3 linked regions of the Arabidopsis thaliana genome follow. Changing the gene in region 1 together with any one later gene gives a genetic interaction. Each region holds a gene or a part of one and is shown on either strand. Other genes may lie near its edges.

Evidence for each region.
Region 2: of NRPD1B (region 1) and DML1, changing one suppresses a phenotype caused by changing the other (phenotypic suppression), as found in Arabidopsis thaliana (one study listed by BioGRID).
Region 3: of NRPD1B (region 1) and SUVR2, changing one enhances a phenotype caused by changing the other (phenotypic enhancement), as found in Arabidopsis thaliana (one study listed by BioGRID).

What each region holds. Positions count from the first base shown.
Region 1 is NC_003071.7:16,709,619-16,718,918, reverse strand, and holds the start of NRPD1B (nuclear RNA polymerase D1B), read right to left. Parts: upstream 4,460-9,300; 5' UTR 4,195-4,459; intron 3,840-4,194; 5' UTR 3,831-3,839; coding exon 3,750-3,830; intron 3,494-3,749; coding exon 3,367-3,493; intron 3,276-3,366; coding exon 3,160-3,275; intron 3,064-3,159; coding exon 3,016-3,063; intron 2,683-3,015; coding exon 2,518-2,682; intron 2,352-2,517; coding exon 2,193-2,351; intron 2,109-2,192; coding exon 228-2,108; intron 140-227; coding exon 1-139. Other genes in the region: AT2G40020 (Nucleolar histone methyltransferase-related protein), read right to left, coding at 6,066-6,322, 6,410-6,554, 6,727-6,924, 7,019-7,156; AT2G40010 (Ribosomal protein L10 family protein), read left to right, coding at 8,471-8,728, 8,838-8,906. UniProt on the Arabidopsis thaliana protein: DNA-dependent RNA polymerase catalyzes the transcription of DNA into RNA using the four ribonucleoside triphosphates as substrates.
Region 2 is NC_003071.7:15,306,138-15,318,459, reverse strand, and holds DML1 (demeter-like 1), read left to right. Parts: upstream 1-3,652; 5' UTR 3,653-3,862; intron 3,863-4,104; 5' UTR 4,105-4,187; coding exon 4,188-4,321; intron 4,322-4,404; coding exon 4,405-4,520; intron 4,521-4,622; coding exon 4,623-5,753; intron 5,754-5,846; coding exon 5,847-6,218; intron 6,219-6,323; coding exon 6,324-6,414; intron 6,415-6,507; coding exon 6,508-7,405; intron 7,406-7,479; coding exon 7,480-7,559; intron 7,560-7,681; coding exon 7,682-7,766; intron 7,767-7,843; coding exon 7,844-7,935; intron 7,936-8,011; coding exon 8,012-8,080; intron 8,081-8,169; coding exon 8,170-8,206; intron 8,207-8,290; coding exon 8,291-8,373; intron 8,374-8,531; coding exon 8,532-8,957; intron 8,958-9,159; coding exon 9,160-9,196; intron 9,197-9,287; coding exon 9,288-9,345; intron 9,346-9,418; coding exon 9,419-9,558; intron 9,559-9,637; coding exon 9,638-9,703; intron 9,704-9,784; coding exon 9,785-9,899; intron 9,900-9,984; and 5 more. Other genes in the region: AT2G36480 (pre-mRNA cleavage complex 2 Pcf11-like protein), read left to right, coding at 10,925-11,329, 12,192-12,293. UniProt on the Arabidopsis thaliana protein: Bifunctional DNA glycosylase/lyase, which excises 5-methylcytosine (5-meC) and 5-hydroxymethylcytosine (5-hmeC), leaving an apyrimidinic (AP) site that is subsequently incised by the lyase activity.
Region 3 is NC_003076.8:17,696,265-17,707,115, reverse strand, and holds SUVR2 (SET-domain containing protein lysine methyltransferase family protein), read right to left. Parts: upstream 9,275-10,851; 5' UTR 9,022-9,274; intron 8,673-9,021; 5' UTR 8,663-8,672; coding exon 8,411-8,662; intron 8,301-8,410; coding exon 8,244-8,300; exon of another isoform or gene 8,189-8,243; coding exon of another isoform or gene 8,156-8,188; coding exon 8,117-8,155; intron 8,033-8,116; coding exon 7,771-8,032; intron 7,659-7,770; coding exon 6,541-7,658; intron 6,363-6,540; coding exon 6,112-6,362; intron 5,976-6,111; coding exon 5,909-5,975; intron 5,806-5,908; coding exon 5,755-5,805; intron 5,631-5,754; coding exon 5,534-5,630; intron 5,412-5,533; coding exon 5,383-5,411; 3' UTR 5,080-5,382; downstream 1-5,079. Other genes in the region: AT5G44005 (uncharacterized protein), read left to right, coding at 1,623-1,907; AT5G44000 (Glutathione S-transferase family protein), read left to right, coding at 3,182-3,945, 4,359-4,608, 4,700-4,885; PDLP1 (plasmodesmata-located protein 1), read left to right, coding at 10,658-10,851. UniProt on the Arabidopsis thaliana protein: Probable inactive histone-lysine methyltransferase that acts as regulator of transctiptional gene silencing independently of histone H3K9 methylation.

The sequences.
Region 1 (9,300 bases):
CTTTATTCAGCTTGTTCCTGACTGTGCAAGCAGCATTTTCCTGGCAAAACCTTTTTCCACAATGGCATTCGTTTAAATAAAGGATTACGCGCCGATCATTAGTAGTGTTTTGGAAATTGACTTTGCAGAGCAGAACTTCCTGGGAAAAGAACAAATACAGAAAACAATTACACAACAATACAGATGAACAAAGCTGTATTCAGAAGGCAGATTTGATATTGCTATACCTTCATTAGCTCCCATGATGAATTACTATTTGGAGAGGAATCAAGCACTGCCTTATATGCAGGATTTGACATGGCAGTAGCTGCCAATACTCCAACAGGTTCTCCAGCTTCAAACAGACCTTGATGTCCACGTTCAGAATCAACTCCATATTTGAACTGGATGACTGAGTTACTACAGGTGTTTCTTACAGTTCCATCGTTTGTAATCACGATATCCCGAAGAACAGCCATCAGGTTCTTAAAGAGGGTTCCAGGCTCAGCTAATCCCCTTGAAGAGCGAACAATTACCTCCCTAGCTGCAATTGAATGAGCCATCTCTTCATACGGATCCAGCCCATGAAAGAAGCAGCCCTTCACTATTCCAAAATCACCAGATGAAGAAATCCTGCCATACTTTCTCTTACAAAAGATAGCCATGTCCTCTACCAGAGTCTTCGTGTAAAACTTCTTCTTGTCAGAAAGCTGAAGACCCAAGAAGCCTGTCTGCTGCACCAGCTTGGTGATTGCTGAGTTACTCTTGATATCAATCAAGTTCCGAATGGAATATGACTTCAGCATAAAGTTAGCAGCCACTTCCTTCACTTTGTGGATGCTGTTCTCTAGCTGCAATTCATCTCTATATGATAATCTCAAGCGAGACACCATAGGTGAAATCTCTCGGATTATTAGGTTGTGAATTACATCCATGTCTGCCCTAGACATGGATAAGTCTTCCAAACTTAGACTAAATCCCTCAGCAAACAGACTTTCCATCAATAGAGGCTGCAGCGAATCAAAGAATCCAAGTGTCTCCTTTGGACCCTTCTCCAGGAAGATTGAAGTTACAATTTCATTGATGATGGACCCCATCGCGTCAACCCCGAAATCAAACTTCAGCAAATCACTTCCATCAACCAGGAATCTGTCTCCTTTGCAACTCAGACGTTCTGGAAAGGCAAGCTGTAGAATCTGGAAAACTGTCCAAGCTGGGCCAGATTTACTGGACTTCCTTAGTGCTGGTGGTGGCAGGGACAGAGAGCCATACATAGCTAACTGTTGAGCAGTTGCCTTGTCCAGAAATACCCGCTCCAGCATTACCCTCAAAGACAGTAAAGAATCACTACCCATCTGCAAAATCAGCTGTCCAGTATGTGAGCTAAGCAGTTGCTTCTCCACAGAGAAGAGCTCCATAACCTCTGCCTTAGCACTAAGAGACTGAGGGTAGAACAAATGGACACAATCACCATCAAAATCAGCACTGAGGGGGCTACACATCAGAGGGTTAATCTTCACGGTGTTGTCTTCATGAACATACACCCGAAGCGCTTGAAGAGAATGTTTATGTGTTGTCGGGGGTCTGTTGATAAACACAACATCCCCATCCATGACCCTGCGATGAACAACCTGCCCGGGTTTAAGCTCAGTGTGCCCCTTGGATCCATCCCTTAAAGAATAGGTCGTAGAACCTTGAGTATAACTCAAACACAACTTGTCGTCTACCAACTTTTGTAGATAACCTCTATTGTGGACACTAACCCTTTCCTCAAATGTGATTCTCTGCGCAATTTCTATTGGGATCCCTACCTCATTCACATGTCGGTAAGCATCTCCAGTGATGACGCTACGGGAAGAGAAACCTGAACCCTTACGGATGAAAAGTGTTCTCATTTTTTCTGTCCAAGCTTTTGAAGATGAACTATCCGAGATCTTAGACACCCCGTATCTCATATCAATGTTTCTTGCCGCTTTTGCAGTACCCCTCACCTGGAGATAGGTATCCACCACTCTAAACATCTCACTGGCTTCAGCCTTATGCGACTCAAAGTTTGTCTCGCCAGACCTAGAGCTTTTTATGGCTATGACTTTCTTCAGAACGTCCTTTAGCTCAATTCTGGAAGGATCCTGAAAATAAGAATGACACAAATCCAGGGGTTACAACACAAGCCAAAGCATTCAACTCAACATAGTAATTTAGTTTCAACTTACCACTGACATGGTGCTGAAACCATCAGAAGCCTCTGGCACTGACAAACAGTTAGGCGGGACAGGAAGATACTCTAGTATGTATCCTTCTTGAGGAATATGTCCCTTTGCCGTGAGTTTCTTTCTTGATTCTTCGGGGATCCGTCTTAGAATTTCCTTAACCTATTTGTTTTCCCACCATATGGAAAAGGACACGGAAAGTACATAATCATCAGTTTCCAGAAAGAAAAGATCTTAAAGATAGAGAATGATTCCAAATGAACAAAAAGAACGTCACCATAAAATCCTACATAAACAGAAACATAAACACACAGAAGAAAGTAAAAACCTCTCTTGCCAGCAGGGGACGCGTGTAATCGCTTCCATAGCGATAACCATATCTTTCCAGGAAATTCCAGCAACCAGGCTGCAGTCTTGACCTAGATGGGAGCTTCAGTTCTAGATATGAGGCACCATCTGATGCTCTATCTTTGATTGAGATTTGCGAAGCTTCCTAATAAAGTAATATAGTAGTTAAAAATCCAAGACGTTCAGCAATAATAACATCCAAAATAACATAAAGCAGTGAATGTTTCATGATGCCACGAAAATACCAATAGCTACTGCTTCACAAGCATTGATTAATGTTACTTTCACTGAATGGATCAAAAGAAGCACAAATACTATTTAGATTTGAATTAGCAAGTTTTCTAACATGCAACTAGTTGAAGGAAAACTTAGAAAAACTAACTAAATGCTGAACCAGGTTCACATAAGAAACATCTATCAACTTGCTTTCAGGTAAAACTTAAAAGGAAACAATCAGAATGTATATGCCATTACTCACCTCACAACAGACACCCAACAAGCGATCCGCCAGACCACCACTTGTGCCCTGTACTCAGAAAGGTGAAAAAGATTAGTCGAGATTTTATATGGTTTATTTATGTGTGGATCACATGGAATTTAAGAAAACTCAATGAGGTAATACCTTTGCCTTCTTTATCTTCAGACATTTCAAGCACAGAAGGCTCAGCATTTGTTTCAACTCATTAACATGAGCAGGATGGTATATTGGCACTGGAAGCTGAATATAACCAAAATGACCTGAAAATGTAGAAACAAATACCGATATCTGAAGAAGTATTCCAACAAATGATGTAAGAACAAAAATATAGCAACTACGGAACTGGATTACCTTCACATTTATCTGGTTCTGTCGCACCGCAAGATTCACATTTACCAAATTCAAGAGGTAACCCCAAGAATGCGTTAGTGAGTTGACTGGGATGATTAATTGCGGATTCACTAATCGATTGAATACACTGCAAGAAAGAATTACAGTCCAGTGAGAAATGGAATAGTGACAGAGGATATATCGCAGAACAACATTTATATGCAAAAGTGTAGCACTTAGCATCACACAGAGCTTGAGTACAATTATAGTGAATTTAGTGCCAAAGATAACCAAAACATAGAGGTTTTAGCTATTCGAAATCCTTCAGTTATGTAAAACCCATGATAAACATTGATGCAGAACAAGATGGATCAATTCCAGAGAGTATAACTCTTATAACTTACTATTTCATGGTGACTAGCAAGAGCAAATGTGATTCCAACAATCTCTCCGTCAAGAATCTCTGATGTAGATTCTTCCTCCATGAAAAAACCCTAACGAGCGAAAATCACACACCAGCGAGACCGAGTTAGCTCTTATCAGATGTAAACAAACAGAGAAACAAAGACATTTGAGCTCACTAACTTGATACAAAGAAAAATCAAGTCTTTGAAGAACAAGTTCTCAAATCTGTAAAAGATACAATTTTTATACTCGTTTACACAAAATCGAAGCTGTAGTAACACACAGTGAACCAAAAAATCCGAACTTTCAAACCTAGAGTAACCTACATTTGAAACCCATTTCGGAGAAACCCCCCCCCCCCCAAAAAAAAACACGGCGGAGTCATGATCGAGCTCTTTTCCCGGAAAAACATCTAAAGATAAGAGTTGGGTAAGACGAAAATACCTAAGAATTCGATGATTCAGCTGCGTATTTGACCCGTTTTGGTTCCTCAACCGGAGAAGAAACGAAACAGCGGGAAACAAGGGTTTTTGCAGGTGAGAAGAGGGAAGAAATCTGAGTGAGAGTGAAAATGGCGGACTTTTTCTTAAAAGAGGAAACCGAGAAAGAAGATTGCGAGAGAACAATTTTGGAGTGACTCTACTTTTCTCTCTCAAAAATCTTTTGTTCTTCTTCACTCTTCAGCTTCCGTCTTTAAAACCCACATTGCATGCAAAGGGAGAAATATTTTCAGTTTCGTTATTAATTAACTAAAATAAAAAGGTATCAATTTTAATTTTTCTTTATTTGTCAAACAATTGATAACACTTGGGAATATGCAATGATGATGAAAATGATTAAAACAAATATTTATCCACATATTATGCAAGACCATGTCAACAACCATTGACAAACTTTTTTTTTTTTTGAGAAGAATAAAGGATTTCAAAACCATAGAATTAGCAGTGAAGCAAAACATATAAATACTTCAAGTAAACTATTTTTTGGATTCGATTTTGGTGTTGTATATTTGATCGATCGCCATAGATGACCGTTTCCGTTTGTAGTACGCTATGTTTGATGCGATAAAAATCTAGCGGGAACGATGTTTTATAAAATAATGGTTATACCAAAAAAACGGTAAGAACTAAGTGGATCGACTTGTAAAAAAAAATTTGAGATATTTTTTGTATTCATGAATTTGTAAATAGTTCATACCAAAAAAATGAATATGTAAACAGTTGACCAATCAATTAAAGACAAAAAAACAGCTCTTTTGTCTTCAAAAATTATATATAAAATGTTAAAGTATTTTTTCATTTTATTTTGTTATATATTTGATCGATCACCATAAATGAACTTTTCAATTATATATTGATGCGATATGAATATGAAAGGAACAATGTTTTCAAGAGATAAACTTCGTTTTTATCCGAAAGAACGGTAACCAATGCTCATATCAATTTATAATGAAAACATGGAGAAGGTTAACAATAACTCTTTTTCTTCATTTATATAATTTTGTTTACACATAAATGAAGAACATGAGTATAAATTTAGGAAAATATTTTGTAAATAAAAAGTAAAGGGTAACTCCAAAATGAAGTGACAGATGATATCATACCATATTCATCACTCCCTTTTAGAGTTGAGAATATAGTGGTATTAAAAGGATTTTTTCTAAATTAGTATTTAGAGTGAAATTTGGAATATAATTGGAGATGCACTTATTGGCTCATGGATTTAAAAAGGGAACAAAATTGCATCAATTTCTTTCTATTCAGGAGGAATTAAGTGGAAAAAAATTTCATTCCATTTATTGTAAAAGTTAGCAAAAGTTGTAACCAAACGAAATACAATATGCTTCCTCTCTCAAACTTTTCCGCTGATGTGTAAAATACAAGTCAAGCTATACTTGCATTTAAGTTTATATGTACAAAAAAAAGTTTATATGTACAAATCAAAAATCAAAAGAATATGAAGTACCGGTTGATATTGGTTCTTGCATTTAGAAGGTATAATTGCAATTAAACCGACTTTCAGATTTGGTCTAACTTTTAGACTGGCTATTCAATTTACTTTAGAGGGATTTGGTTTCCACTTTCGACATTGATCTTTGGATAAGTGGGTTCGGGTACTATTGTATGACTCATACAACTACTGATAAAGACTATCTGCTTTCTCTACTCCATCACAAATTATTAAAAACCAATATCTCAAGAGATGTTAAGATGGGTCGTTTTACCTTTTTTCACCACAATACTATAGCTTACTACTACTATTTGGCTTCCTAACATATATATCAATTTGCTACTTACAGGAGCTCCATAGCTCCTTTACTTGTCCCACCTCATCTCTTTCTTCCTCCTCTTCTGTCCACGTACTTCCCTGAGAAGCTCTTGAAGTTCTTCACAAAGAGGTTCTGGAGTAAGCTGAATGATCTCATCATCATCACCATCACTATCCTCCTCTGGCTCCGTCTCCTTCTCCTTTGGATCCTCTGGCTCGGTCTCCTTCTCCTCTGGATCCGTTTCCTCCTCAGGATCCGTCTCCTCCTCATCAATTAGCCATCCACAATGAAGATTCTCCACACCTAATCAATTATTTTGACCGCAGTAAAAGAATGTTTCATTTCTTATGTTGAGATTGGTATGGATATGAGTAAAAAAGCTTTTATTACCTCGAACAGAACTTTGTGCATAATCTGATGATGCTTCTCCCAAATGAATAGCTGCTGGTGATGGGTCATTGACTGCTTCGCTATTGATTGATAACTCATCAGCTTGGTCTCTTCCATACTCAATATGCATGTCCTGCTCCTGCTCCTGTATTACAAAAGATGGATCATGCTGCAAGTTACATACCATTTGGGTAAACCAAGTTCAAGAATTCTGTCAATGGTTTCTAATAATGCCAGCAAAACGAATCCCAACAATGGAAGCAACAGATTTGTGAACCTGCACAGAAAGAGAACGAGAAGGAAGAAAAACAAATCACCTTCTCTTCTTCGTGTATTTCCACAGCCAATTGATTGGGTTGTTCTTCCTCAGCCATCTCTTCATTGTGATTCTCAGGCAATTGGTTGGCTTGTACTTCAGCCAATTGTTTCTCTTTTTCCTCTTGCTTTTCAAGGCAGATAGCAAGGAGGGGACCATAGCTATCATCTTCAATCAAAAACCATTGGTCTTCGTAGACCTGAAATCCAAAGTGGGTAAAACGTTATTTTCAAGTTGCAAGGAAAATGTTATCAACAACGGAAAAATGGAGACCCTAAAACTAGCGAACAAACCTCTAACAGTTCCTTAATACTCTCACTGATAACATGCTCATGAAACCCAAATCCTCTCATGCGATCTCGTGCTGCATCCTCTCGCATCAATCCAGCCTTCTGCAAAAAAGCAAAAGAAAAGTAGCAATTTAAAAGCATAGAAAAGAGAGATAATCATAGAAGGAAAAAAACAAGAACACCCATCATAAAAAGAAGTATTTGTAAACTTATCTCATCAGTGTTCTCAACGTTGAGTACACAGAAGTCGTAGAGAGAAACAAAATGTTAACTTCAACAATCATGTCATTCAAATACTTCATCTATATAGTCATTCTACTCTAATGTCTATGTCTATGCTTTTATCTTAGTTTTCCACTATACTCTCTAAAAACTATATGATTCAAAAGCTCATATCTTTACTTGTTAGCCAGCATTTTAATTTGGAAAAACAAAACAAAAAAAACAGTACAGCTTATACCTTTCTTCTTCCTCTGGGAGCCATTTGTTGATCCCTCACAATTCCCTGTAGTTTCAGAAGAAATTGGAGGACCAAAAGTATAAGTCTTTGGGTTATAATCAAACAAACAAACAAAGGCAACCAAACAAGTGATCCCTTTTTTCAAACCTATGTAACAACAAAATCAACGAAAGATGAAACAAAACAAAAGTTGAGCTCTTTCCCAAAAATCCCGAATCAGTAACACTAGAGATAAACCAAAAATACCCTAAAATTCAAACCCAAATGAAACCTAAACAGAATCACAACAAAACACAAAAACACGAACTTAATTTTGCTACAGAGATGACAATGTGCTGAGCTGTTTCGTTCAGATTCGATAGGGAAAGAGAGTACTTACGGCGGAGAAGATAAAATCGGCGGCGACTGTGGAAGGTTTCTTAAGAATAAGCCGTGGATCGCCTCCTCGTCTCCCAAAAATGCTTCTTTGAATGAAATCGAATTAAAAAAATAATATAGTATTTGTTTGGGTCAACCATTTTCTCTGTTAAGTCAACCATTTTCTTATTGGTTACTATAAAAAATAATAAAGTATGAATTACAATGAATGGATCTCAGTTGGGCTTGAGATGTGGGTCGAAAGAGCTTTTAGCCCAATAGGAAAAAGATTCATAATGTTAAACATGTTGGGCAATATTGGCCCATCCCATTGATACTACTACAAATAATATAAGCCGTTAGATTTAGGTCATCCCACAAACCCTGACCGTTCATCCTTCCGTCTTCCGATAACTATATAAACCCAAGAAACTTCTTCTTCAACCTTAAGCAAATTCTTACGCAGCTTTTTTTCTTTCTCTCTTCCTTCCTCTGTTAAAAACAGTTACAGAGGTTAAAGAGACAGCGCCAATTCGCGCTGTCCACCTTGTACGAGCTCCAAGCTTCGTCTAGGCCCTCCATTTTCTCTACCCCAAAATTTAGTTTCTTTAGTCTCACTTTATCATTTTTAAGTGGAAATGGCGGTGAAAGCAACAAAGGCGGAGAAGAAGATCGTTTACGATTCAAAGCTTTGTCAGCTTTTGAATGAGTACTCTCAGATTCTTGTCGTTGCAGCTGACAATGTTGGATCAACTCAGCTTCAGAACATAAGGAAAGGTTTACGAGGTGATTCAGTTGTTTTGATGGGGAAGAACACAATGATGAAGAGATCTGTGAGGATTCATGCTGATAAAACTGGCAATCAAGCTTTCCTCAGTCTCCTTCCTCTTCTTCAGGTTTCATTTCTCTTGTCTTGAATAGTTTGTTTTCATTTGGATATAAAGTATTGATTTTTTGGTTTTGTGGAGAATTTGATTTGGTTTGGTGTTAGAATCTATTTAACAGGGGAATGTTGGGTTGATCTTCACTAAGGGTGACTTGAAGGAAGTCAGTGAAGAGGTTGCTAAGTACAAGGTTTGTTTCTTTGGCTCAATTGATGTTATTGTTGTTGTTAAGCTTTAGTAGAGTTCAAATATGGATTGATAGCTTGGAAAGTGAAAGTTTGTATTTTTGAGTTTGAAATGAAATCATATGTGTTCTTGCTTAAAATGCAGCCACATTCTAATTGAGATTATTATGATTCGTTGAGCTTTGAGGAGATTACATTTTCATTGATTGGTTTATTACTTAGTTTGGTTAGTTTTATGCTGTATCTGATTATCTCTAAGTAAGCAAGAATGCAAGGTGTTGTATTATTCGATTTTAAACACAAATGCAAACTTTCACTTTCCAAGCAAATAGGGTTGATTAGATTATAGTACTAGTTATTTTGGTTCATTGAGGTTTGAGGAGACGACATTTGTAGTTT
Region 2 (12,322 bases), 1.4 Mb from region 1:
AATGACTCATCAATCTACAAAACCACATATACTTCTTAAGCAAACACAAGAAGAACAATCATTTGATCCATAATCTCTTTACATCTTCAGAAAAGAGATAATCAAACAACAAAACAGATCAAACAAAAAAACAGAACATGCAAATTCAGTAAGATAAGGACATACATTACTTATCTTAGATATTGGAGATTCAGACAAATTCAGGGTATCGATAATGGACATGAAGACAATGAGAATTCACGAATCCAACAAATTTTCAGAAATCTGATTCATATCTAAATGAAAGAATCTAACCTGTGAGATGCTATTTCAATGGCGTTGAAGATTTGGAAAAGTTTGAAACTTTCTCTGATGTTAATGTAATTTAGATTGTATGGGTTGGTGTATTGGTGTTGTTTACGAATGTTTCTTTCTGTTTCGTCTTCTATGAGCAAAACCCAATAATCAAAATCACAAATTTATATGTTTTGATCTTAAGAAAACTCACAAGGATTTGATTCCAGAAATAAGACTTTTCTTTCGCTATCTGTTCTTTTTTTCTCCTTTTGAGTTTTTTTCTATTTTCTGTTTTATTTTTTTAAAAATCGTTATCATCATCCTCCTTAACAACGTGTCTGGTGGTTGGTTTCTATCACTCAACCCAAAATTAAAAAAGAAGATTAATAGAACAATAATTCTGTTATTGTTGTTAGGTAGTAAGCTATGTTTAATAAATGAGGATTACCCTAAATGGGTGTTATTAGTTGGTGTCATTAGTAGATAAGGTTTATATTAGTCGATTTTATTTATCAGAGGTCATTTTAAGGAGTGAATTGTTTGGCGAATTGGCGTAAACAATATGTATATTCTACGTTATCACCATTATTAGGAGTATATATAAAGAACCTTTCTCGTTGGAGTTTGTTCATCAAAAGAATCGACTTATATACTTTCTAGAATGAATGTTCTAAGTGAACTTTTATAAACAATGATCCAAAAGATAGATCAATATTGCATGGGGAAAGGAACAGTTGAAAAAGTCATGCATTAATAAATAAAGTTTATACTTATTAAGTGGGTTATTGTAGTCTTCTTCTATGTGACATGTTTAAGATCGAAAGATGGCACTTGGCTTCCACTTGGCACTATCTCAGTTTGCATGAAATCACAATATGGTATTTGTCTCTTTGAGTTAAGTTTCACCATTGTTTATATGGATAATATCATGTCGATACAAAATGTATTATAATATCATAACATTATAACGTGTGCATGTAAAATAGGATTATAATAAGATAAGAATTAAGTGCTTTGCTAAAATTCAATGTAATTTATACTTTTCATGCATGGTGAATGAGTAAAAGAGTTGAATGAATCTGATACATGAGACGTGGATGGTAAGCGAGAGCTATGTCATTCACACGTCTCACACAGTGCGTGAAACGGGAATCTCCTGCCACCGCTTGAGAGGATTGACCTTATGGGATAAAAAAATCTTTCGACGCTTAAATCAGAAAATAATCACAAACATGTTATGAGAAAACAAATCAGCGAAGTCGTGGGTCTTGTATCCGCTGGTACTATTGCTCTGATTCTCTGTTTCCGGTCTTCAGCAAGATCCGATCATTATCTCCAGTCATACAAAGATTTTTTTGATTATTTATTTTTGTATATGTTGGATCTTTGTAATGTCCAAGACCTTACCCAAATTTTTGGGAAGGCCAATATTATAAAATTATGAATAAAACAAAGAACTAAGAACTATGGGAATGATATTTTTTTTTTTTTAATATATAAACTACGTGAATGATACCATATCATAAGACAAAAAATAGAAGTATGGATTGAGATACAAGCGTGGCGTCTTTGTTTTCAAGTGACCTATCTCCTTGATTATATTAAATAAAAACTAGTAAACAGGTTACATGATAGATTCGTAGATTAGTAGTATTTCAAGTTATAATTAAGATCAGGATATTTATAGTTACAGAGTATGATCGAGTAACAAGCGACGATTTATATGAGGTTTTTAGGCATGCCGGCTTTAGACTATAGTCGATGAAGCAAGGACTTTAAGGTCGACGCCAAAATATTTTTTATATTTTGAACTTTTGAGAACCCTAGTTAGGCCTAAGCTTCACTTTGCTTGGCACACAGCCGGTTATATTGGTGGATCAATGTATGGATATTTTGTATGTTTGGAGTGATGGCTTTATCGAACTCTCTGAACACAACTCTGCTAACCATACATCCACACGTCGTGTGATAATTAGATCTTATATAATAGTCCAAAAATGACTTCCAACTCATATATTTATATAAATAGTCTTCTTTTGTGGTTATATGTTTGGTTATTTCTATTTATAGTTTAATTCAATACCAATATTACAACTAAATCAGTTTAATTTTTCTTTGATTTGGTCTTTGAATTCACTTTCATGGTCAGTTTCATTGTTTAAGATAAACTTGAATGGATTAAACCGAATTAGGCATTCACTTTTGATCAGTCTCTTCTGCCATAATCTTCATAAGACAAACCCAAATTTGTAAAAACTTTTTTGAAAAAGAAACCGTAAGTAAAAGTAAAAGCGTTTAGGATCCAAGTATGGATTAGCTTCGTAATTTGAATTAGGTTTAGCTATACGAATTCGTTTACTTTTGTACCATATTTAGTTGTATTGTTTTCAATAATAGTTTTAAACATTCGAATAATCCGTTCCCAACTTTTTATCCACTATTATTCGTCTCAGTTTCTAGGATAGATATGTCCACACAAAAAAGCTCTTGATTTTTTTTTTTTTTTTTACAAATTCCAAATTTCTTTGCTCATAACCCAATCATTAGGTTATGACCACCATTGACTCACTCATAAGTCATAAGTCATAGGCTCATAACCAATCCAACAAGTTGTTAAGATTGACAACAACGATTCACTAAGATTCCAACCAAGTCCATGAAATAAATGATTTACAATACTCATTTCTCATGTACGTCTCTTTGAAGGTTTCTTGCATGACAGGAAATCAAAGGTTAGCACACTAATTACTCTTTTTTTCACACACATTCACAGTTTCACACATATGGTGCAGTATTTTGACTCCTATCGTACTAGACTAAAACATTTGGAATGATCAAAAACGAAAGACTCGTTGGGCAACTAGCCTAATAATCACTCTACTACACTAGCTCCCATATCAGTGGAAAATAATAATTCTAAAACGAATCATTTAACTTCTGCATATGTAAACGAAAACGTGTAAATTTATGAGATTACGTAAAAATTAGCAAAATAATATATTATTGATCAAAATTATAAACGTGGATTACATAACATGTTATTTGTTTAAATCATAATTTGATGATAAATTTATAAATAAAGTTCTAATTATTTTATATCTAAAGCAAAATTAAGATTATTTTATAATTTCTATTAATTATAAAATTAGTTAGTTCATATAATTTTAAATAGTTACGTAAACGAGAAAAAATACGAAATTTTAAAGAGAAAAAGATAACAGAAAAGACGATGATGACGATGACGATAACAACGACAATATTATTAACTTTTTAAATCATCTTTCCCATAGTCTAGGAGATTTTGTAGAAAAGAATCATTATTTTTAAAATAAAATTCCGTAAAACTTTTCCCGCCAACCAAACGAACTTTCGCCCTACATAAACAAACGGTTATGAAAAATAGTGAAACACACAACAACACATGTTATATCCTCTTCTTTATACGTTAGGCCAAAAAAGCTTTTTCTATATTACTCTTTAACTTCATCGATTCCAAGAGAAGAAACGAAGCATCAGTGATCTTATCCTCTCATAGCTACCACCGAACTAACTCTCTCCATCACCACCATAACCATTGATTCTACTGGTAATGAATTTTGTTTTTTTCTTACTTTTTTTTACATTTTGTTGTGAATCTAAAAAGTCTCTCTTTCACCTAACGAACGGATTAATCGTTCATGTCGCCACTCACCCAAAATCAATGACTTCCGGAGATCTCTCTTTCTCTAAAACCCCAGAAAAAAGTGGATCTGATCATTTTATAAAATCGTGATTTTTAAAAAAAATTGGTGATCTCTTTTATTGAAGAAATTATTGAACTTTTTGCAGTGGAAAAAATAGAAAGTTCCAAGCTTTTTCTCAAATGGTTCTGATTTAAGTAAGAGTGAAGAAAAGTAAAAATAGAGTCAGAAATGGAGAAACAGAGGAGAGAAGAAAGCAGCTTTCAACAACCTCCATGGATTCCTCAGACACCCATGAAGCCATTTTCACCGATCTGCCCATACACGGTGGAGGATCAATATCATAGCAGTCAATTGGAGGAAAGGTTTGTGCTTTTTTGTTCTAAAGTTGAGAAATTTCAAAGAGTAGTGATGGGTAATTGGTTAAGTAAGGTATTGATGCATGCAGGAGATTTGTTGGGAACAAGGATATGAGTGGTCTTGATCACTTGTCTTTTGGGGATTTGCTTGCTCTAGCTAACACTGCATCCCTCATATTCTCTGGTCAGACTCCAATACCTACAAGTAAGAGGGGATTTTGATTCTGGTCTCATGAGAAATGAAATCGCTTTGTCAAATTTTGATTCTGTTTGAGTTGGACTGAGAAAGATGTGATTCTCAATGTAGGAAACACAGAGGTTATGCAAAAAGGTACTGAAGAAGTGGAGAGTTTGAGCTCAGTGAGTAACAATGTTGCTGAACAGATCCTCAAGACTCCTGAAAAACCTAAGAGGAAGAAGCATCGGCCAAAGGTTCGTAGAGAAGCTAAACCCAAGAGGGAGCCTAAACCACGAGCTCCGAGGAAGTCTGTTGTCACCGATGGTCAAGAAAGCAAAACACCAAAGAGGAAATATGTGCGGAAGAAGGTTGAAGTCAGTAAGGATCAAGACGCTACTCCGGTTGAATCATCAGCAGCTGTTGAAACTTCAACTCGTCCTAAGAGGCTCTGTAGACGAGTCTTGGATTTTGAAGCCGAAAATGGAGAAAACCAGACCAACGGTGACATTAGAGAAGCAGGTGAGATGGAATCAGCTCTTCAAGAGAAGCAGTTAGATTCTGGGAATCAAGAGTTAAAAGATTGCCTTCTTTCGGCTCCTAGCACGCCCAAGAGAAAGCGCAGCCAAGGTAAAAGAAAGGGAGTTCAACCAAAGAAAAATGGCAGTAATCTAGAAGAAGTCGATATTTCGATGGCGCAAGCTGCAAAGAGAAGACAAGGACCAACTTGTTGCGACATGAATCTATCAGGGATTCAGTATGATGAGCAATGTGACTACCAGAAAATGCATTGGTTGTATTCCCCAAACTTGCAACAGGGAGGGATGAGATATGATGCCATTTGCAGCAAAGTATTCTCTGGACAACAGCACAATTATGTTTCTGCCTTTCACGCTACGTGCTACAGTTCCACATCTCAGCTCAGTGCTAATAGAGTCCTAACCGTTGAAGAAAGACGAGAAGGTATCTTTCAAGGAAGGCAAGAGTCTGAGCTAAATGTTCTCTCGGATAAGATAGACACGCCGATCAAGAAGAAAACAACAGGCCATGCTCGATTCCGGAATTTGTCTTCAATGAATAAACTTGTGGAAGTTCCTGAGCATTTAACCTCAGGATATTGTAGCAAGCCACAGCAAAATAATAAGATTCTTGTTGATACGCGGGTGACTGTGAGCAAAAAGAAGCCAACCAAGTCTGAGAAATCACAAACCAAACAGAAAAATCTTCTTCCGAATCTTTGCCGTTTTCCACCTTCATTTACTGGTAATGAATAGATACAGAACTATATTTCTTTGTTTTTTTGAATCTGTTAAATGCAGACTATTTCTTGATAATGATGATGTTTGATTCCTGCAGGTCTTTCTCCAGATGAACTTTGGAAACGACGTAACTCGATCGAAACAATCAGTGAGCTATTGCGTCTATTAGACATCAACAGGGAGCATTCTGAAACTGCTCTCGTTCCTTACACAATGAATAGCCAGATTGTACTCTTTGGTGGTGGCGCTGGAGCAATTGTGCCTGTAACTCCTGTTAAAAAACCACGCCCACGACCAAAGGTTGATCTAGACGATGAGACAGACAGAGTGTGGAAACTGCTATTGGAGAATATTAATAGCGAAGGTGTTGACGGATCAGACGAGCAGAAGGCGAAATGGTGGGAGGAAGAACGTAATGTGTTTCGAGGACGAGCTGACTCATTTATTGCAAGGATGCACCTTGTACAAGGTTATACACCACACTTGTCCTTTTATGTGTTTCTGTTCTAACCACATGGTTTCAATTAGTATGTCTCAGCTACTGCTTCTTGTTATGGTCTTTGGTTTCTAACAGGGGATCGACGTTTTACGCCTTGGAAGGGATCCGTCGTGGATTCTGTTGTTGGAGTATTTCTCACTCAAAATGTTTCAGACCATCTCTCAAGGTACAAGCTCTTACATAATTCTATGTCAAACTAAATCCAAGACAGCAAAAAGTCACAAAACTAACTTGCTTTGATGTTTTTTACTCCTTGTAGTTCGGCTTTCATGTCGTTGGCTTCCCAGTTCCCTGTCCCTTTTGTACCGAGCAGTAACTTTGACGCTGGAACAAGCTCGATGCCTTCTATTCAAATAACGTACTTGGACTCAGAGGAAACGATGTCAAGCCCACCCGATCACAATCACAGTTCTGTTACTTTGAAAAATACACAGCCTGATGAGGAGAAGGATTATGTACCTAGCAATGAAACCTCCAGAAGCAGTAGTGAGATTGCCATCTCAGCCCATGAATCAGTTGACAAAACCACGGATTCAAAGGAGTATGTTGATTCAGATCGAAAAGGCTCAAGTGTAGAGGTTGATAAGACGGATGAGAAGTGTCGTGTCCTGAACCTGTTTCCATCTGAAGATTCTGCACTTACATGTCAACATTCGATGGTGTCTGATGCTCCTCAAAATACAGAGAGAGCAGGATCAAGCTCAGAGATCGACTTAGAAGGAGAGTATCGTACTTCCTTTATGAAGCTCCTACAGGGGGTACAAGTCTCTCTAGAAGATTCCAATCAAGTATCACCAAATATGTCTCCGGGTGATTGTAGCTCAGAAATTAAGGGTTTCCAGTCAATGAAAGAGCCCACAAAATCCTCTGTTGATAGTAGTGAACCTGGTTGTTGCTCTCAGCAAGATGGGGATGTTTTGAGTTGTCAGAAACCTACCTTAAAAGAAAAAGGGAAAAAGGTTTTGAAGGAGGAAAAAAAAGCGTTTGACTGGGATTGTTTAAGAAGAGAAGCCCAAGCTAGAGCAGGAATTAGAGAAAAAACAAGAAGTACAATGGACACCGTGGATTGGAAGGCAATACGAGCAGCAGATGTTAAGGAAGTTGCTGAAACAATCAAGAGTCGCGGGATGAACCATAAACTTGCAGAACGTATACAGGTAAAAATTTAGTGGCTAAATTTCGTGATAACATTCATTTTAAGTATTTGACTCTGAACATGAAAATCATGCAGGGCTTCCTTGATCGACTGGTAAATGACCATGGAAGTATCGATCTTGAATGGTTGAGAGATGTTCCACCAGATAAAGCAAAGTAAGTTTGAAAGACGAAGCATTTTATTTCTTCTTTATTAACCTATACAAAGATTACTACTTTGGCAGTTTTAGTGACTTAATAATGAATTATGTACTCTCGTATATTACAAAACCCTGCAGAGAATATCTTCTGAGCTTTAACGGATTGGGACTGAAAAGTGTGGAGTGTGTGCGGCTTCTAACACTTCACCATCTTGCCTTTCCAGTAAGCAAGGATCAAACTTTTGTTTCTGTCCCTATAAAAAGTGAATTATATGATGCATGAACTTAATTTATTGACAGGTTGATACAAATGTTGGGCGCATAGCCGTCAGACTTGGATGGGTGCCCCTTCAGCCGCTCCCAGAGTCACTTCAGTTGCATCTTCTGGAAATGTAAGCACTTTTCAAAATGGTCCTACTTGGAAATTGTAATTTGTTACTTAATACATCTGAGGTTTGGTTTGTCTAGGTATCCTATGCTTGAATCTATTCAAAAGTATCTTTGGCCCCGTCTCTGCAAACTCGACCAAAAAACATTGTAAGAATGATGTTTATCACTAACTTTTTTTTTTTCATGCCTCAGTCTAATACACTTATTCATTAGTTTAATACCCTATTATCTCACAGGTATGAGTTGCACTACCAGATGATTACTTTTGGAAAGGTATGTATTAAAGAAATACATATATACGTATGTCAAAATCAGCTCACATGATGAGGTTTGTAATCTGCTTGATTATTGTATCAGGTCTTTTGCACAAAGAGCAAACCTAATTGCAATGCATGTCCGATGAAAGGAGAATGCAGACATTTTGCCAGTGCGTTTGCAAGGTGCTACAACATGTTCTCTTAAACCTTTAGTACCACTATGACTCTATGAGGAAAGTCCTTGTTAAAATATAACCCAGTTAAATGAGAATTGGTCTGTATCTAAACGAAGCTCTGAATCATCATTACAGAAAATTTAGTAACATTCATTTGTTTTACAGTGCAAGGCTTGCTTTACCAAGTACAGAGAAAGGTATGGGGACACCTGATAAAAACCCTTTGCCTCTACACCTGCCAGAGCCATTCCAGAGAGAGCAAGGGTCTGAAGTAGTACAGCACTCAGAACCAGCAAAAAAGGTCACATGTTGTGAACCAATCATCGAAGAGCCTGCTTCACCGGAGCCAGAAACCGCAGAAGTATCAATAGCTGACATAGAGGAGGCGTTTTTTGAGGATCCAGAAGAAATTCCTACCATCAGGCTAAACATGGATGCATTTACCAGTAACTTGAAGAAGATAATGGAACACAACAAGGAACTTCAAGACGGAAACATGTCCAGCGCTTTAGTTGCACTTACTGCTGAAACTGCTTCTCTTCCAATGCCTAAGCTCAAGAATATCAGCCAGTTAAGGACAGAACACCGAGTGTAAGAATCCATTTTTCTCTGTTTTTCTTCGTTCTTAGGTTAAAAATGAAATCAGAAACACATTTTTCAAAATTATTAAAGCTTGAACAGAGTAGAATATTTAAGTGATTGACCAAGCATGAACTCGTAAGTTGGAAAGCAGACAAACTTCCCAATAATTACAGGCTATGCCATAACTTGTTTCTTTTCCCGTATCTTGCAGTTACGAACTTCCAGACGAGCATCCTCTTCTAGCTCAGGTATGTGAGCTAACTGGATAAGGACACATGCCGTATAGAGTGCTGTCTATATTGTAAAATCTGACTAGCTGTTTGTGATTTCTTGTGGCAGTTGGAAAAGAGAGAACCTGATGATCCATGTTCTTATTTGCTTGCTATATGGACGCCAGGTAATTTAATGATTTGCATATCTTTTAATCATGAAATCAAATCGGTATCTTTAATCGATGTGTTATTCAACAGGTGAGACGGCTGATTCTATTCAACCGTCTGTTAGTACGTGCATATTCCAAGCAAATGGTATGCTTTGTGACGAGGAGACTTGTTTCTCCTGCAACAGCATCAAGGAGACTAGATCTCAAATTGTGAGAGGGACAATTTTGGTAAGTAGTTGCATCAATCTCCTTATGCGGCTTACTACACTTATGTTTTCTACAGATTAATATGTTGTAAATTGTACAGATTCCTTGTAGAACAGCGATGAGGGGTAGTTTTCCTCTAAATGGAACGTACTTTCAAGTAAATGAGGTAAGACTTGAACTCCAATAACTCCAACTCTTTCATTTTAATTATTTGCATTGAAACTTGTGATGTATTCTATTGATACAGGTGTTTGCGGATCATGCATCCAGCCTAAACCCAATCAATGTCCCAAGGGAATTGATATGGGAATTACCTCGAAGAACGGTCTATTTTGGTACCTCTGTTCCTACGATATTCAAAGGTATAAGATTTTCTTTATTGGATTGTGATGCGATTGTTTATATAAAAGAAAGTTGTTCTAACCACTTGAGCTCTATTTTTCTCAGGTTTATCAACTGAGAAGATACAGGCTTGCTTTTGGAAAGGTACATTTTGTATTAAGCAGTTTCTTCTTGTTCTGAAACATAACTTATCTTTTGATATTATGTAGGGTACGTATGTGTACGTGGATTTGATCGAAAGACGAGGGGACCGAAGCCTTTGATTGCAAGATTGCACTTCCCGGCGAGCAAACTGAAGGGACAACAAGCTAACCTCGCCTAATCCGTTGGCAAGCAAACAAATACAAGCTTATGGTTAAGAGTGAGAGAGCACACTGTTCCAATCTAGTTAATGTAAGAAAGTGAAAACGTAAAGTTAACAGTCCTAGAGTTGTACAAGGTTTCTAAATCCCATTTTAGTTTCGTCTTAAATTTGTATCAAACACTTGTCACAAAAAACAGACCCGTAGCTGTGTAAACTCTCTGTTCCCTTCGTTTGGTTTATATCTGAATTTACGGTTAGCTTTTGGTTACCTGAATCAAGATCTGGTTCGATATGTGGAGGATCTCACTTAACTTGGTTTAAATCAGATAGTTCAACCGGACCAAAGAATTCTATTGTTGTCAAATATTAGATGATGGGCCTATTATACATGGAATGTGGGTCATTAAATGGGCCTAAATATTTTTGGAACCAGCTCCGATCTTCAACTTTTTTTTGTCTCGTCTCCATAAAATCCCCAATTCACAACCCTAATTGATCGGAGATTGTCCAAACTCTCTGACATTTTTGCCGAATTCGAAGCATTCCTTCTATCTTCTCCGTCTTCTTCGCAGAATCGCGTTATGCATCTCAATTTTTAGATTGTAACTTAGGGTTACTGATTGTTGTAATGCTCTGAATTCCCCTCTAACGAGGATTTGTTGTCACTGCAATCGATTTTTGCCGATTAGGTTTAATTTAGGGCATTATTTGCGTACCTCTTGTATTGTATAGTTCTTTGGAATGGAGAATCCTCGTAGACCGTTTGATAGATCCAGAGATCCAGGTCCGATGAAGAAACCCAGGCTCAGCGAGGAATCAATCCGGCCTGTTAATTCCAACGCGCGGCAGTTTTTGTCGCAGAGAACGCTTGGTACGGCTACGGCGGTGACAGTGCCACCTGCTTCGTCAAGGTTTCGAGTTAGTGGTAGAGAAACTGAGAGTAGTATTGTCAGTGATCCGAGCCGAGAGGCTTACCAGCCACAGCCGGTTCATCCACATTATGAGCTTGTGAATCAGTACAAGTCTGCACTGGCTGAGCTCACTTTCAACTCGAAGCCGATAATAACGAACCTTACAATAATTGCTGGAGAGAATGTTCATGCTGCTAAAGCCGTCGTAACCGCCATTTGCAACAACATCCTCGAGGTGAACACCCAGTTTTCATGCCCACTGTTTTGTTGTTATAATCCGTGCTTTAGTTCTCAAATTCTTGTTTGAGTAATAATAATTGTACGATATAAGGGGAATAAGGTAAAAGGTGGTGGTTGAGATTTGTGTTATCTGTATACGAGGTTCAATGAGAAATTGAGTTTTTTGAATCAACCCTAGTATCCTTTTCTGGGATCTATGTGTTTTTATATTTCTTCATCAAGTCGCAAATCATTTCTTTGAAACAAAGTTCATAGTACTGACACAATGTTGTTAACAATCTAAAAAATAGCTGTTGCCCATGCAACCATTTTGTTCATGTTCATATATCAAGAATGCATATATCAGCTCATCATGTGATTGTACTGAGTTTTGGTTATATGAGTGTGTAGTCTCTTTATCAGCGTTAGAGTTTTTTGTATCTCACTTTACCATTTAGCAAGGGCTTTCATAAGCTCTGTTTTTATTGAGGTTGGATTTTCTGTTGGCGGTTTCTGCTTACCGCATGCTCTCCACAAAGCCAAGTCAACTTTTATTCAGTCTTTGGGTAGCAAGGAAGCACTCAATAGAAGGAGCCTGATCCATCAAGTCTGTGTGGAGAGTGAAGACAAGAATTGCTATTGCAGTGTTGTTTACATCGTCTAATGGTTATCTGTGTCTATTGTTGGATTTCTAGTTGTCAGAATATGTGTTAGTATTAGCTTGAATGTCATCTTGGTCTGTGCTTTTGATTCTACTTTAAGTTATTGATTTCTTTCATTACCTTTAGAGGCTCATGTGGAAATCTCGATGTTACTCTCTATGAGATCAAATTGGCCTTTTTTCTTCTGGGTTATCTGATTTGAAGAATATCATGCAGGTACCAAGTGATCAGAAGCTGCCAACACTGTACCTGTTAGACAGCATTGTGAAGAACATCGGAAGGGATTACATTAAGTACTTTGGTGCCAGGCTGCCTGAGGTTTGGTGCTTTGTTGATAGTCATGGTTA
Region 3 (10,851 bases), on another chromosome or scaffold:
GTTTGCGATTAGATGATAAAGATACAATAAATGGTATGATGGATGAGTAACAGAAAGATCCAGAAATGAATTGATTTCTAGTTCGAGATATTTCCTTAGCTTTATTTTGGTTGTTTAAAATTGAATTCTCTTTGTTTATAATTGTTATACATCGTTGTCGTTTTGACTCATGTATCTTTACTTTTACGTCATGTAACAAGAAAGCAATTACGCGTGGGGTCTTCCTTTTAGGCATAATCTTGTCATTTTGGTATATGCTTTGTATCAATCCATGTCATGATCTATCCTAAAACGTCGTCGTTTATGCCATGGACGGTGTAGACTGGTAGACACTCATATCTCACTTTAACCGAATGTTTCCGAAGAATTTCAGACAAAAAAAACTGATGAAAAAAATGAGTTTGCATCAGATAATGCTTTTTGATAAAGGGGTTTCAAAAGTGGAATTCTTATTATTTTTTCGCCAATAGTGGGATTAATTTAGTCGTTGAGATTTTTGCTTCACCGTTGGTTTATTGGTTCTAATAAAAGTTGTATTTGATTCTCCACCCAAAGTTGGGACGGGTTTATGACCCATAAATTAGGCTTGTGATGTGGAGCTGACACTAACTAAATTTTCAAACATATCTTGAAAATTTATATTCATTCATTAGAAATTTATATTCATTCATTATAAAGACTAAATCTCAATAAATGGGAGTGTTAATTTGACATATGAACTATGAAACGTATCATTTTACTATATTTTGTATTAACCATTTGGTAATGTATTGATGTCCTATCTTAAGTCATGTCATAGTGTAGCTCTTTTAAAACCTTTTGTAGGTCGTTTATAAACTTGCTAGATGTACGCCATGATTTTGCCTATAGATGATTTCATTTAGCCACTACAACATAGAGTTAATGTGCAAATATGTCACGAGGTAGTTTATTTAAGTGGTAATAGATGATGAAATAGATTGAATTGTTTTTTATAATATTAACTTTTTCATACTAGTGTATTAGACAAACAAAAAAGAAGTGGATATATGGTGATGAATGACGCACTTTGGATAATTCTTTGGCATATGAATCATGAATCACTCTACTATATTTCTTTTTGTATTGAAATATGTTAATCTACTGATGATTTATCTACTAACTCATGTCATTATGTTGGTCGTTTAAACCCATCTTTTTTTTTTGTTAAAAGGGTCGTTTAAAATCTTGCTAAAACACCATGATTTGCCTATTAATGATTTCATTTAGCCACTAAAACATAGAAGTTTATGTGCAAATACGTCACGAGGTAGTTCACTAAAGTGGTAATAGATGAAATAGATTGAATTACTTTTATAATGTTTAATTACTTAGCTTTTTCATATTTGTATATTAGGCAAACAAAAAAAATGGATATATGGTGGTGAGTGATGCTCTTTCGACTATTCTTTGACTATACACTTTTAGTCCACGAATGATAAATCCACACGTTGCAAATCCCATAGCCTCCCTCTCTATCTCTCACTTTCTATCAAATTTAGCTCTTTAAATGTTCCTCACATTCTTTGCTTCTTTGTTACTTCTTACACATTTTCTCACTCTCACAAATCTCACACACACAGAGTAAACTAACTCTAAAAGCTATGAACAAACAAAGTTTGAAGAGACTTCAGTTCCGGAGATGGGGAAAGCGAATCGGAAGCTCGACGACGGCTTCAGCAACGCTAGGAAACACCGAGGAAAGAACGATTGTGGCGTTTGCGTTCTCATGTTGTGGAAAACCACGTGTTCTCGTGAAGCAGTTTGTTTGGAGGCTTAAATCGCGCTTAAGGTGGTCTCGGAAGAGTGATCATAATAATATTCAGTGTAGTTATGATCTCCGGAGCTATCATCTGAATTTCGACGACGGTTGGTCTCGCCGACGGTGATTTTAATTACATAGACGTTGCTATTATTGTCTATATATGGAGCCTTTTCTTTTCATATTTTGTAGTAAATTAAATTCTCAATCTGAAAAGATGATTTTTTTTGTTTCGTGTTTTCTTGCATACAAAATTGCAAGATCTTGATATTTCTATTCATAGGCTTTAACTTTTGATCCAAATACAAATACTTGTCATAGAAAACAACATTTGTATGAGCCTAATTTATCTTAGCTTTGTAGTCTTCATTTTTTCTTGCAACACTATTAACTCGTTGTGTTTTTCGTTGATGATATATATGATGTTGATGAATTGGTAAACCCATAGATGACATAATAAATATAATTGATGTGGAAGAAAAAGATATCGGACCAGTTAAGATTTTCTGAAAATTGAAAAATGAGAATGTATTCATAAAAAGTATTTTTAAAATTTTTATGTTTTGCAGATGAAATGTTAAAATCAAAGTAAAATAATTGCTGTCATTTTATTATTAATGAAGCAATCAATTCAGTCATCTAACATTAACATATGTCCCCACAGTGTTTCTAATTACCACTCAATACACAATTTTTGGATAGGGAAACCTCATAATTGTTTTTTTTTTTGTTTTGGGGTGGGCACAAAACAAGTCTTAAATTCAACAATCTGAATCTAAACCAAATTTCATATAAACAAATTTGGGCAAACAAGTTATTTTGATAAAAGTAACCATTACACTCCAAAAGAGGATGAATTTAAAGAAGACAATGCACTATTTGCTAAAAGATATCGAGAAACATAATTAAAAGATAGCAAGATAAACCGGAGCCGGAGAAGAGTAATGTCGTAGAAAATTCTCCTAAGCTCAACAGTAGATTCTTCATCATTAAAAGAGGCCAGTGAACAAGAGTCTGAGAATTAGAGAACACATGTAAACTAAGAGCATTTTCAATGGTAAGAGCCCCTCAGCTGCTTTCACCATTTTTTAATAATAAATTTTTGAATTTTGTGAGATGAGAATTTATGTTATTTTTAAAATTTATTTTATTTCACAGAACTGAAAAACTATTATAATTCATAACATTGATTTATAAATTAGTGAAACACTCTATATACTCTATATCCACTCTATTTTATAATTTTATAATTAAAATGTTTGGAAACATTTTAATTAGTGAAACACTTATATCCACTTGGGCCTAGAATAAACGTAGTTGGGCCTGCTTTCAAATGGATACAAAACATATCGTTTTACGTCTTTCGTCTCTCTTCTCTCGCCGAAGGAAAAAAATTCAGCCATGGCCAATTGCTTCGCGCCACAATTAACCTTCCCGTCCTTCTCGCCACGCCATTTCAGCCCTAGAATGTCGCACCAATCACCAAAACCAAGCACGAGCACCACCACAAGCATCTTCACCTCCGCCACAAAGCTACTATGGGGACCATCTCTTCCTCCAGGTCTACTTATCTCCACCGCTCGAACAGCTTGGACAACCGTGTGGCAGCTCATGATGACCCAACTCGCTCCATCCGATTCATCCGGGTCATACACCCGACCCACTTCAAAATTTCGTCTCGACCCGACCCAATTCACTTCCGCTGCTTCCTCCGAGCTCCACCTCTACGTTGGTCTTCCTTGCCCTTGGGCTCACCGAACCCTAATTGTCCGTGCTCTCAAGGGTTTAAACGACGCCGTTCCGGTCTCAATCGCATCACCTGGTCAAGATGGATCATGGGAATTCAAGAATAATAATATCCCAATCAAGGATAAGGATAAACTTATCCCGAGTTTGGATAAAGCAAACCGGTGCCGGAATCTTAAGGAAGTGTACAAATCTAGAAGTGGAGGTTACGATGGGAGGTGTACTGTTCCAATGCTGTGGGATTTAAGGAAGAAAGATGTTGTTTGTAACGAAAGCTATGATATTATCGAGTTCTTCAATTCAGGTTTAAACAAATTGGCCCGAAATGATAACTTGGATCTCTCGCCACCAGAGTTGAAAGAGATGATACAAGGTTGGAATCAGATTGTGTATCCTAAAGTTAACAATGGCGTTTACAGGTAAATTGGAAAACATCATTACAATGTTTATAGAATGTTACAATGGCGTTTACAAGTAAGCGGGATATCAAAAAAGCTATAGGAATGGAGTGAATTGTTCCAAATTTGATGCGGGTTTAGCTCATAGCTTGTGTTCTTAATGCTGCAATGTGTGTTTGATGCTAAAGTTGATGACTTTGTTGTGTGGTAATTTGCTTGCGATATTTTTTGAAAGGTGTGGGTTTGCGCAGAGCCAAGAAGTGTATGATGGAGCTGTAAAATGAACTCTTTAGTATTAAAAGCTATAGAAAGCAACTGAATTGTTCACATTTGATGCGGTTTTTGCGTAGCTTGTGTTCTTGATGCTGCAATGTGTGTTTGTTGCTAAAGTTGATGGCTTTGTTTGTTGTGTCATGTGTGGTGATTTTTGAAAGGTGCGGGTTTGCGCAGAGCCAAGAAGCGTATGATGGAGCAGTGAATGAACTCTTTAGTACCTTAGATGAGATTGAGGATCACTTGGGTAGTAATAGATACTTGTGTGGAGAAAGGTTGACATTGGCTGATGTATGTCTGTTCACAACTCTGATTCGTTTTGATTCGGTTTACAACATTCTATTCAAATGCACCAAGAAGAAGCTTGTTGAATACCCAAATCTCTATGGCTATTTGCGCGAGATTTACCAGGTTCCTCTTCTTACTGGCTTCTCTCTGAGACATAAATTCTGCATCTGGGAGTGTGTTTCAAATTATGTGTTTGTTGTTGTTGTTGAAACAGATTCCTGGTGTTGCGGCTACTTGTGATATTTCGGCTATAATGGATGGCTACTACAAGACGCTGTTTCCGCTAAACGCTAGTGGAATTCAACCGGCCATTTCTTCATCTGGCGATCAAGATTCTCTCTGGAGACCTCATAACCGAGACTTGGTAGGTAAAGCCATTGAAGCACAGCTTTCGGTTTAAGCGTAGAAAACTGTACATAACTCAATGATAGGATTATCCAACAGCACTCAAAAGTATCATACAATGTAATAAGCTTTGATCTTGTACTATTATCATTCCTCATATATATAGAGAGAGAGAAGCCTTCCACAAGTGATTCTCATGGGAGTTCTTCTTAAGGTGAAATCACTTTCAAGACTTCACTTCGATACTACGATTTATATAAATAGAGAGATCTTTCAATATAAGTCATAACCAAAAGCCATAGCCGTTAGAACCAAAATTAAGATATTCACACGAGTTTTTGATATCACAAAAGTGAATCAGTTTCTAAGGATTATAGTTTCATCCTGATAGCTACCTACCTATTTTATGGACCGCGACTTTGCTTATATGCATTGTCGGAATTTTTTACAAAAAGCGTTTTTCGATTGGAATTTTTTTGCCAATTCATTCACAACAAAAAGGAGTTTGCGCCCACCACATATCTTCAAAACCTACCAATGTAAAGCTCTCTCTCATGCTCGCTTCTTCACATTCTTGCCTTCTGCAGCATCAACAAATTGCGTGTTAGTTGCAAAATAGTGAAGGGCTCATGTTTCAAAACCGAGATAACAGTCAAATATAGGAAAAGGATTATCAAATAGAAATCGTGTGATGATTACTCACTGCTAATCTGCTTCCTGACTCGGCAGAAGTCGCTACCACATTGACAATGGAACGGACTCGTGGGAAACACATCTTGGTTGAATGGGACACCATAATCCTGCAGGTCAAGTCCAAAACTTCTCAAACAGAACCACAAAGAAAACAGGACTTGAACCCGAACTAGTGAAAATTTCTAAAAGAAACAAATCTGTTAAGAGTGGGTGGAGAAACTTCTAACACACCCAGGTAAGTTCCTCCATAGCATCGATCTCTCTTGTTGTGAAGAATGCAAGCTGGAAAAAAATACAGATTAGCTAATCGGTCTATTGTTTCCACATAACAGATGAGTCTTCTATAAGCAAATGATTAGAAATGAAACAAGGAACTGTGTCATACATGATAGTAGTGTGAATCAGTAGTCTCCGCATGAACTGGGATCTCAATCAAATTTGCATCTAAGCATCTGCACATATAGACATAGTACAGTTAGAAGTAATGAATTGAGAGTGAAACCAACTATATAAGTTTCCCAAATGAGTTCTAAATCTAGGCTAGTCATATGAAACTTTATAACAAACTCATTTTCAGTGTCCCTTTACCTGTGATTGATGAACCTGGAAATATTTCCATAGTGCGTTCCTTCAAGAGAAAGTGCTTTGTCATCCCCTGAAATGTCTTCAGAACCCCAGTACGCATCCAATATTACTGGAGAAGTAGGCCTGTCAGAGATGCGTTGGAACAACTCTGGAATGGTCAATATCTCTCCAGCAAGCTCACAGACAAATGCTCCTTTAGGCAGTTTTTCTAGAGTTCTGAGTCCCCAGCCTCTCCCATTGGGCGTGAAAAACACCTGATTCAAAAAAAAAAAAAAAAAGGAACATAAACAAAATTCAGGCATCAGAATCTCTCCACTGGTTAAGTCCAAGTTAAAATGATCATAATCAGTTTCAATTCTATCAGAACTGAGATGGGTTTAGATTATCAAATCCTGGACTACTTGGCTAAAAAGGTTGGTAAGTTGAATGTACCTGCAGCTTGTTGTGAATGCCCTGTTGGACAACTCGGTTGCCACAATTCTTCATGCAGCCACACTTGCTCCAACATTCTTTAATGGCCTTTCTCTTTAGATGCCCTTTGCACGGTTCCAGGATTACTTCTTTTTTGGCTTTCTCTAAAGGACATTCTTTGCAATACAGTAACATTTGTTTCCGCGGATCACGGGCCTCAGAGATACACTGTTCCAGAAAATCTTCCTGTAGGAGGCCATCTACTGTGTATGCAAAGCCATTAAAAGCAGTTGCACATCTGCATGCCATTGACGGAGCCAAGCAATCTCCACAGCAAGAGGAGCAGCATTGGTCATCCCTGATATTCCCAAGCGAAAACTTCACTGCAGCATCTTGATACACAAGACTTTGGGCTATGTAATGGAAAACTGGAGGAACTTTGTCGTTGACCTCATTCACCCAGGGAATCTCAACAGTTTCTTTCCCTAGACTGATGTCCCCGACGCTGCTTATCAATCTCCACTCATCTGCAGAAAGTTGGCATTCAGGAACAACTACCAAAGCCATGGAATCACCAACTGCACCGTTTTCAGCATCACGCATATGTTCGTTGCTGCAGATTTCAACAACATCATTACTGGCCTGAGAAGTATAAGCCATCCTTGCTGCAGATTTCTTCAATGCATCAATGTTCGTTGTGACAAACGGCAAGTTTTTTGGCAATTGGTTAGCTGAATCTCTCCCGTTTGTTGCCAGGTCCAGGTAGCAGCTACAGATGTCGTTCATAAAACCAAGCACAGAAAAGTTGGGGTCCAGTATTTTGTATGATCGGAGACACTTCTCCTCCATTGCTCTTCGTAGTTCCTCCATAGAAGGTAAATGGGGATTTGATCCTCCAGTTGCAGGAGCAAAACTAAGATTAATCTTCACCTCGCCTGAAGCAGAAGAAGCTAATTCAAGTGCTGGAGGTTCTTCTATGGTTGCAGCTAGCTTGTGATCACTAAATCTCGCAACAGTTGTAGGAGAAATGTCATTGGTAGTACCATCAGCAGTACTTACTGTTTCACCAGCCTTCTCTTCCACATGTCCATTTGATTTGTCTATCTCAAGCATGGAAGAGTCCCCTCTATCTACTGAATCTACAGAAAACGTACAAGACACATTAGTTTTGGAGAAAGTAGCTTCAACAATCATAACAACAAAATGAGCAATGCAAATAAGATTTAGTTACTCCTATTTACAAAAAAGTACCAGGAATAGAACTGAGAGGCATATTTGTAATGGGCTCGACTTTTGTAAGAATGAGCTCACCAGCATCATGGTCATTTTCAATTGGTACAGGATGATATGGCAATAGGATCGGAGCATTTTCTTCGTCATTAATTGAAGGTCCCTCTAAAGTCGGACTGCCCAAGCTAGGGCTTGCCAAAGCAGAGCCTCCTTCACCTCTGCGTCGCAGCCTCTTTAAAGGGCGATCAGACTCAGCCATAACATCTTCGTCATCCTCGATAGACTGATATTACACAACAGAAACTGAATAAACAAGAACATGAAGACACATTACTCTAACACAGCAAAGATATTCAGTTTGCCATACTTCATGGAGCTTTTTCTTTCCTCTGTCAACTTCTGCGGCCTGAAAGATTGGATCAACAACAAAGTGAAGCATGGATAATAAAGCAACATTGAACTAATAAATGGAAGATTGTTTGGAAAAAACATACACAGCCTTCATCCTCTTTAACTTCGTCTGCCTTCTTTTCTTCGCTTTCTTGAATAGCCTTTATATAAGTAAATCAATATGGAATGTCAAGGTAATAACAAAGACAATGATTACAACAGATTTACAAAAAAAAAAACAGTAGATCAAAGAGAGAACAAAGAAAGATACCTGATCTTCATGGCTATCGAAGATAGCATCAGCAAGAACCCTGTAATTGTCTTCAGCAATTAACTCCCAGTTTTTCTCGTAAAGGGCGAGAAGGTTTTTCAAGACCGGCTTCACTCGCGCATCCTCTATTCCCATAGCCCTCATAGCCATAAATGCTTTCTTGATATGCAGATTAGGTGCCATCGTTTCTGCACCAACAAAACTAAAACTGATTGTGGGATTGCTTTCGTGAAACAAGTTGTAACTTCTCATTTGCCTCGTCCTATCAAAATGCGGAAGAAACAAGATGTGAAGAGCCGTTCAGTAAGGAAATAAATGTGGCCAGAACTCAAAACATTACAACAATAAGCAAAGACAGACCTAAAGCAAATCAACAACAAACCAAGACTACAGACATCTACCTAGCAGCAAAGACTAACCACAAGTAGCAGAAAAGACTCAGAAATTGAATATCCTAAGAAAGTTGAAACCTTTCCTCTTAAGAAAACACAATCGCACAAAGAAACTCTAACAAAACGTTGTTTTTTCTCTTCCAGAGAGCTAATAGCGTTTTCAGATGACGATGAGACTCAAAAAGGAGAAGACTTTCGTCGGAAATTAGAAGAACTTACTAAGTACAGAGACGAGAGGGTTAGGGTTTAAAGCGAGCTCGGTACAGAGAAAGGATTCCACGATTTTGACTTACTTAGTGAAGAATCTTGGCCGTAATAAGCAAATGACAACGGCGTAGAGACAATGTCGGTGACGACGGCAGAGTATTACGTCGGCGCGTGAGAGTACACGCGAGGACAGTGCCAGGTGAAATTTCGTTTCTTTCTCAGTATCTTGTTCGACTGTGACTTTTTGTTGACCCTCTCTCTTTCTTCTTCTTCTCTGCTTAATGGGCCGGGCTTAATTGGGTCGGGTCAAACTCAATAAATAAGCGAATCTTATTGACCTCTTAAGATTTGTTTTTGATCTTACTACTATCATGTGTATGTAACTATGTATGTCTCAAATTCTCCGGTATTTAAATCCAATGCAGGCAGTTCTGGTAACCTTATTTTATAAAAATTATTCACTAATATTGTATAGGGAATCTATACTTAATTAAGAGTTTCACATATCTTTTACAGTATACAGTATTAGTTCTTTCCTTTTGTAGTCTTTAACTCTTAATGATTTTGAAACATTGGGGAACACCTCTACTTCTCCGAGCAATCTTTTTTTTTTTTTTTTGGGCAAATGCTTGTTTTCATTCATCTACAAGAGAAAACAAGTACAAAGGTAGAAGGATTCTAAGATCACAAAGTTTTAACATACAACAAAGATAGGCATTCCCCAATACCATAAAAGGTAAGCAAAAGCATAGGTAAAATACATCAACAAAGGTTCCAAGAGAGCTATAATCCAAACACACAAAGGCAATTTGGTTCTTGTGAGATCAAGGGTTGTTGACAAATCTTCCACACTCACCAACTCAAAATATATCATATAGAATGTGAAATCCAAAATCCTGCAAAAACAATCATGCTTATCATTAACTCAAAATAATCATAGTGATAATATCTTTTGTAGTTTACAAAAACACACAGGTTTATTATTATTTACTCCAGTTACTACGCAATTATGTTCTGAAATTATGTAAACTCAAAACGATCATGTTTTGTTTTGTTTTGGACACAAAATAAAATCGAATCAATCATTCACATTTACAACAAGGTCTAAGATTTTATTTTCCTTCTCGTATCAGCCTACAATTTAAATCAAACTCATCAAAATATATCTTAGTGCCTTAAACAAAAAATACATATACACAAAAGGTGTTTTTCCATCAATGTCCTAAAACAAAATCCAAATTCAGACAATAAAGTCAGATTTAATGGCATTAAAGGTTATTCACTAAATTCAACAACAAAAAAGAAGAAACAGTAATCATTTTTTTTTGATACTGTATTACATAATCTCCTAAACCAAATCTATATAATAAACACTTGTCGTCTCAAAGTTTCTTTCTTTTTTATCTTACCCTTGAAGCAAGATCCAAAGAAAAGTATACTCCTTTATTTTTCATGGTTTCATACTACAAAACCTGCTCTTATTTACATTTTTTTGTCTTTAAACCTCAAAACAAAAGACAAAAAAAAAACGGAAAACTTTCTTTTTTCCGGACACATAAAAACAACACAAACTTTATTAGACAGAAACAAACTAGTAAAAAGATTTTGAACATCAAGAAACAAAAATCTCTCTCTGTCTTTCTCAATTATGAAACTCACCTATCAATTCTTCATCTTCTGGTTCTTTTTACCATTCTTTGCAATCTCCGGTGATGATGATTATAAAAATCTGATCTTTAAAGGTTGTGCAAATCAGAAATCTCCAGACCCAACTGGTGTTTTCTCTCAGAATCTCAAAAACTTATTCACTTCTTTAGTTTCTCAATCATCACAAAGCTCTTT